Linked DNA regions of Rattus norvegicus. Each later gene encodes a partner of the first gene's protein in a complex. Links are inferred from orthologs where the notes say so. Each region holds a gene or a part of one and is shown on either strand. Other genes may lie near its edges.

The links.
Region 2: the proteins of Spag9 (region 1) and Arf6 are in contact, whole or in part, in a crystal structure (PDB 2W83), measured with the Homo sapiens proteins. The link is inferred for Rattus norvegicus from reciprocal best matches to the Homo sapiens genes SPAG9 and ARF6. Residues at the interface, in NP_001124000.1 of Homo sapiens: Lys431, Asn432, Ile435, Val438, Asp439, Thr442, Cys443, Asp446, Val447, Gln449; in NP_001654.1 of Homo sapiens: Glu13, Arg15, Lys34, Phe47, Val49, Glu50, Thr51, Thr53, Lys58, Asn60, Trp62, His76, Tyr77, Thr79.

The regions. Positions count from the first base shown.
Region 1 is NC_086028.1:79,534,161-79,537,979, forward strand, and holds part of Spag9 (C-Jun-amino-terminal kinase-interacting protein 4), read left to right. Parts: intron 1-2,150; coding exon 2,151-2,281; intron 2,282-3,819. UniProt on the Homo sapiens protein: The JNK-interacting protein (JIP) group of scaffold proteins selectively mediates JNK signaling by aggregating specific components of the MAPK cascade to form a functional JNK signaling module.
Region 2 is NC_086024.1:93,588,059-93,591,506, reverse strand, and holds Arf6 (ADP-ribosylation factor 6), read right to left. Parts: upstream 1,731-3,448; 5' UTR 1,579-1,730; coding exon 1,051-1,578; 3' UTR 582-1,050; downstream 1-581. UniProt on the Homo sapiens protein: GTP-binding protein involved in protein trafficking that regulates endocytic recycling and cytoskeleton remodeling. GTP-bound form plays an important role in the transport of multiple palmitoylated proteins form the Golgi to the plasma membrane.

The DNA.
Region 1 (3,819 bases):
TTCCTCCCATAAGTTACTTTTGGTCCCTGTTTTATCAGTGCATAGGAAAGAAAATAGGACACACACAGAGTTGATATCCATGCAGATCTTAGAATAGTGTATCAAGTTCATATAAATGACAGCTAAGGTTTTTTTATTCTTTCCCCAAAATATGCACTAATACAATTATACTTTGTAACTCCCATCTGGCTTGAAACTTACTATGTAGAACAGGTTAGCTTCAAACTCATGGAGATCTCCTTGGCTTCTCTCTCCTCAGTGCTGGGATTAAAGGCCTACACCCTCATACCCAGCATCATAATATTCTCCCTCTCCCTCTTCCTTTCCATATATATGTATTTCTGTCTTCAGACACAACAGAACAGGAAATCAGATCCCATTACAGATGGTTGTGAGCCACCATGTGGTTGCTGGGAATTGAACTCAGGACCTCTGGAAGGGCAGTCAGTGTTCTTAACCACTGGGCCATTTCTCCAGCCTCAAATCATAGTTTTTTTTTAAATAAATTATTAAAATGTTTGTATTTAGAAATTAAATTTCCTTCTCTATAGTATTCCTACAAAGTATGGTTCTGGTTTTGTTTCATACCACTGTTAGGGCCAGAGGTCCCGGCTCAGTGGTCGAGCACTCATGCCGGAGGCCCGGGTTCAGCCCCTCATATCACTGAGACACTATACTCTATCTTAGAGACTTGCTGTTTTGACTCAGTAGTATAGTTTGAGATTCATTTGTGTTGTAATAACTGGTGTAGTTCATTTTTAGCATCCCACTATATGAATGTGCTATAGTTTTTCTGTTTTCTTGTTAATGAATATTTAAGGTAGGTATTTCATCTTTTTCTCACAACAAACAATGCTGCTGTTAAAGGCATTTAATAAAATAGGTGTGGTGATACTTGCTTTTGTAATCCCAATATGTGCAAAGCCTGAGGTAGGAGGATGGCACATGGAACTGTGTGTGGAGAGGTCAGTTGTACTAGCCTGGATGGCATAGTGAGGTCTGTCCAAAACAAAAACAGACAGGTGATGGTGTGTCCCTTTAATTCCAGCACTCAATGCAGGCGGAGCTCTGACTTTGAGGCCAGTCTGTTCTACATAGGGAGTTCCAGGTCAGCCAGGGCTATGCAGTGAGAACTTGTCTTAATATCAACACCCACCCTACACCCCCCACCCCCGCAATAAAAGAAAACAAAGAAACAACAGTAACAACAAAACCCAGAACATTATAGTACAAGCCTTCTGGAATGAAGACTTGTGGATTGTTGTTGTTGTTCAGAGTATATGCCTAGTCATGAATGGTATTACTGTGTTGGGGAATTCAGAGCTTTTGTTGTTGTTTTCTGTTTTGCTTTTTGAGACAGGATTTCTTTGTAGCTGTGGTTATTTTACAACAAGCTCATAAACCAGGCTGGCCTGCTTCTGCCTCCCTAGCCCAGGTATTAAAGGCCTGTGCAGCCCTCACTACCACCCACCACCCAGCAGAATTCAGGACTTTTGTTATTTGTGGATGACTTTTGTTTGAAGAGGCAGGCTAAATTCTGAGGCAGGAGGACAGAGCAGGAAGACTGCTAAGGTTTGAGTGAAGCTTCTGTGTCACTGTTCCAAAGTGTCAGTATTGACCTAAAGTATACACACCTCTCTGAACAGAGCAAAGCCCTGTTATTAAACTACCTGCTTCCCCTGTGGTTTTGTTTGTTTGCTTTTACTGTTATAGTTAGGTTCTTTAGCAACTAGATAATAGGTTCACTATGTTGACTCCTGGATATGTTATGTGGACTGGTAGTTTGAGATAAATGAGCCTTTTTGGAATTAATTGTAACTATTTGCTGAATATCAATTGTAAATGTTAGAAAAAATGTTTCCAAGTAAAATTTTTGAGAGCATATTAAATCTGTTACACCTGAAACTTTTTAATTCTTACTAATCCTTTTGTATATTCAAATAGTAATATTTATATTCGGAAATTGGATTACCTACTTCTTTTCAGTCATAGATAAAAATTTGAGTGCCCGATTTTATTTTATAAGGCCATTTTAAGGTCATCGAGTTAGAAATAAAGAAATGCTTAAAAACTTGAGATTTGGTTTAAGTGTGAGTCTCAACATCAGATCACGTATAAAGCCCGAGTGACCTGCCACCCTCCTATTACAGAGCGACATTCCTACCGCCCAGAGGAAGCGGTTTACCAGAGTGGAAATGGCCAGAGTTCTCATGGAGAGAAACCAGTACAAAGAGAGGCTGATGGAGCTTCAAGAAGCTGTGCGATGGACAGAGATGATCCGGTGTGTATGAGAAGTGCTCCGATGTTTCTTGCTGTTTCATTGGATGCATGTGTTTCTTCATTGCCAACCAATCCCTGACTGAGGGTTCATGCCATTTCCTTATTCAATAGGAGAAACTTTCGGTTAACGTTTCTAACATTAATAACAGAACGAGACCAGAGATGTCCCAAAGCCTAGGTGTCTTTTGAGATAGTACATGACCTTAGAGGATAATCTCATAACTTGTAAGAGATAGTTGTTGTTACTTAAGAATAATGGTCATTTAAAAAAAAAAAAAAAAGGAAATAATATTCTCTCCCAGTGTCGATTTCACATGCAGTATATGGAAAATATATTTAGTATTTTCCTATTAAATATACTTATTTGACTGCCCCCTCTTTCTCTTCATGCACAATATATTTTTCCTTTGGTGTCTTTCTGTCAATTAGACGTTTGTTTTTATCATTAATATGTTGTAATGGTTCCTGTTGGTGGAGTTAAGTGCCAGCCAGTGTGTGCGTACCATGCTGTGTAACCAGACCCAACCTTCCGTTATTCACTCTCCAGACCTGCTAGCCTCTAATCATCACTCTTTGCAATCAAGCTGACTTCTTTGTAAACTCTCCCTTTTTTAAAACTCAATTAAAATATTAATTTTATTAACAGAACTTATGATCCATTTTCTATGTTGTATATGTTTTACAACTGCAAAAGACAGAGAATGTTTATTTCATAACATTACTTGATATTGATGAAATTTTGTACTTTATTTCCCAAAATTTTATCTTGAAGTTTATAACTAAGACTGTTTCTGTACTATCTATCCACTCCCTACCTCTAAGTACCTTCCTTGACAAATAAGATTTAGTGCACTCAACAGGGGATGTAAACTGTCAAAAAGTAATCATTTAGACTCATGTATCAGCAGCCATTTCTATATTTTATTGTAGCATGCCTGATTCCTAGAATGTCACAATATCCTTTCTTATTAATCCAGTGCCATGTGGGTTAAAAGAAATATTAATTTTAGCAAGGCTTGCTTTTGCTATATTCTCATGTTCACATCTTTTTTTTCCATATAAAACTGTACCAATTCCTACAACATTCCAATAGCTTACAGATCCAAGGCCACAAGACTGGCCCTCCATCACAAACAGCTTGAGAGGACACATAGTTGTCCTTTATGGCTCTTAAATCTCACAGACTGCTGCCATCTAGTGGTCATGATCTCAGTAGACATTCCCTCCTTGCACTCAAAAACAGCTATAGAAAAGTTTGTCAGCTGACTTTCCATTAATTTACTCATATTCTTGAGTTTGAATTATCACATCAGATTTATACATTGTTTTCAAGTTTGTAAACCTAACCTTGAACCCTCCTCATACAAACATCATTTTTAGCACCACTTACTTAGTAAGTTGCCACCAGAGCAGTATAGTTGCAAGATGTTCAGTGAAAGTTTAGAGCGCAGATAAAAGAAACCTTAAAGTAAGAATAGGAATTTGTAAGAAGTATTTTAAAGAGGGAGCTAGAGTATATCTTTAATTTTTTTCTTTGCT
Region 2 (3,448 bases), on another chromosome or scaffold:
GCTGTAATGTGAAAACAGGAATGTGTTGGGTTTTTTTTTCCAGCTAGGTTAAAGGTGCATGTAATTTGGCTTTTTAAATATTTTATTAGTGAGCCAAGTAAATGTTTAGTAATTTTAAAACTACTGGTCTTAAGACAGTTCCAGTTTTGCCCAAAAGTCACTTTAAAGTATCTACAAATACTTCATCTGTGTGGCATACACCATTATTGCTCCACTTTCTGGAAAGAGCATTTTTATCCATAAGAGGGAATCAGCAAAGTTGCTAACTTTGCAGGGAGAAGGACCTGTACCCTTTACAGGCTCTGCTTGTTTTAGTCGGTAAAGTTAGCTATGGCAAAGGGGACTTGAGCCTTACTCCTACTCATGCACGTTAATGGCTGACTTCAAGGGATTCCTTACATTACCTATCTGACACACTGGTGTGCAACTGAACATTACACTGGTATTACTCATTTTGCCACTATGGGCTAAGTTCACCATACTGGTCTTGGCTATAAAAGGTCACATTTGAAACTGCTAAAGTTAGAGCTAACAAGGAAGGGAGGGAAGGCCTTAAATATAAAAGACAAACGGCAGTTTGATTAAGCAATAATTTTCAGTTTACTAGATGAAACAGACTTGGAACATAGTCTGCATGAATGCAAAATAAGCCATCTACAGCAAGTGATAAGAAACTGGGCAAAAAGGAAAAAGGCATACATGGGGGGAGATTCTCTCGAAATAAAAAAAAAAAATCAAAACCATTATTATAAAGGACTTTACCAAGAGTTGCTATTACCCCACCCCGTTTGCTGGAAGTCACAAGAGCATATAGCACTGTATTCGTGTCAAATGTCAGATCAGAGCATCCTAACGCAAAGCCGAAAGGAAATAGAAGAGGGGGGGTAAGGGGAACAAAGAAAACCCCCAACCCCACTAAACGGTAGAACAGTAACTCGAGTTCAGTTTCAAAAAAGAGAGTGGCAATTGAAAGAGGTGATGATGGTGGCGATAATCCTATGAATGGGTTTTTGATTTCTCTCCTTCCGGGGGCTGGGTGGAGGGCGCTCATTAGGATTTGTAGTTAGAGGTTAACCATGTGAGCCCCTCATAGAGTCCGTCCCCGGAGGTGGCACAGGAGGGCTGCACATACCAGTTCCTGTCCCGAATCCGGGTCAGGCCCAGTTTCTCCTGGATCTCATGGGGTTTCATGGCATCAGGCAGGTCCTGCTTGTTGGCGAAGATGAGGATTATGGCGTCCCTCATCTCCCGGTCATTGATAATGCGGTGCAGCTCCTGGCGGGCCTCATCGATGCGGTCGCGGTCGGCGCAGTCTACCACGAAGATCAGACCCTGGGTCCCGGTGTAGTAATGCCGCCAGAGCGGCCGGATCTTGTCCTGGCCGCCCACATCCCACACGTTGAACTTGACGTTTTTGTAAGTCACCGTCTCCACGTTGAAACCCACCGTGGGAATGGTGGTCACAGACTGGCCCAGCTTCAACTTGTACAGGATCGTTGTCTTGCCGGCTGCGTCCAGGCCCAGCATGAGGATCCGCATTTCCTTGTTCCCGAAGATCTTGGATAGCACCTTCCCCATCGCGTCGGAAGAGCCGGGGCCGGGGGCATTCAGGTGTCCCGGGTCCCCTCAGCCTACAACGCCGCCGCCGCTGCGAGCCCGAAAAGTAGCCGCCCCGCCGCGAGGACGCCCTGCGGCCCGGCTTGCGCGAAGCTGCCTGCTAGGGGCAGGGGCCCGGCCTGCGCTCACTCGGGCATCGCCCGCCGCCGGGGCCCTGCGTCTGCGCCGGGAGAGCCGCCGCCCTGCTGAGGCGAGGCGCGGCCGGCCCGGAACTGCCCTTCCCCCCGCAGGCGCCGCGCGAGCGCCGCCGACAGCTCCTCCGCCGCCTCAGCACGCGGCAGGTCAAACTGCGGCCCTCCCGCCGGCCTGCGAGCACCGGGCTCCGCACCAACCCTGGTCACCCGACGAAGAGCGCGGCTCTGCGCCCCGTCAGGTCATGGATCCTCGCGGGAACTCGGTGCTACCTGCAGAGACACAGAGAGGGAGAAGGGAGTTACCGCCGGGACTCCGACGGTGCTGAGACCGACCCGGCCCGCCTTTCGGGCTCGGCCCTTGAGATTACCTCCAGCCGCCGCCCCAAGCGCGGGTTCCCTCCGGCCTCCACCTCCTCCTCCCCAGTTCTGCTGCCGCCGCTGCCGGAAAAGGCGCCGAGGAAACCGCCTCACTTCCCCTCCCGACTGCGCACGCGCACCTCAGCCCGACCGTTCGGAAGAGCGCGACCTCTGAAAGGAGAGTGGCCCGCGCGCCTAGCGTCACGAGCGCCACGCGCCGGGGGTGGGGCTACGGCGGCTCGGGGGGCTCACGCGGACGCCTTGCGGAACCTGCTGGAGCGGGGCTGGCCGTACGCCCACCTGTCGCTCTCCCAGGGTCTCCGCTGTTTTCCCTTCTCCGCCACTGGAAGGCGGGGCAAAAATCCACTGGGTGTTCAACGCCCCCACCCAGGCTTCCCAGGTTTGCTCCCGGACACCCTGCGCAAAGTTCCTCCCGCTCGCCCCAGCCTTCCGCACCCGGGTCTCCTTTTTACTCCGACGCCTCCCGACTTCCTTCTGTTTCCTGAAAGACACGTGGGAGGCCAGTGTTCCATAGAATCCGCCAAAGTCGCCCGCACTTTTACTCGTGTTGGGTTTGCCCCTAAGCCCTGCCTGTGAAAGTTTAAACTTGTCCTCTTTGTAAGTCTGAACCACCCGCACTTCTTAGGAAATAGACTTTCAGGACCGACGAGATGGCTGTGTGCGTGAAGCCTGCCGCCGAGAGGGCGGACCCGTGTTCAGTCCCCAGAACCCGTATGGTGGAAGGAGAGAACCAACTCCCTCAAATTGACTTCAGATCTCCACGCACCATAAGGAAACTATTTGAGTTTTGTTTTTATTTTCAAATACTTTTTTCATTTAGTGTGCGTGTGCACAGAGAGGTCAGAAGACAACTTGCCAGAGCCAGTTCCTCATATGGGTCTAAGGTATCAAACTCAAGTCATCAAGCTTGGCGGCCAGCACTTTTACGTACTACCTTCTTGCTGGCTGAGAAAACATTTTTGTATTAAGTGACTAGTGTTAAGTAAGGTTAAAGTAAAGTGAAATTTTAAATGTAAATAAGGGCAAAAATAAACACGAAGGAAAAAAACTGAAAAGTTCAAGGAAGTTACTACGACAGCATATGATAATATACTTTTTATTTTATAATTGATAAAAAAATTGAAGTCATCAGCCAGATATGACTCACATCTATCCCAATTATGGCAGAGGGTCGCCATAATTCTAGCTAGGTAAGTCTAGGCTAGAGAGAGTATCATTTTAACAAGTAGTGGCCTCACATCCACTGTGTAGCTCAGGATTATCTTGAAATTAATCCCCAGCCTCTACCCCATCCAGGATAGGGGGAGGGCTATTACAGT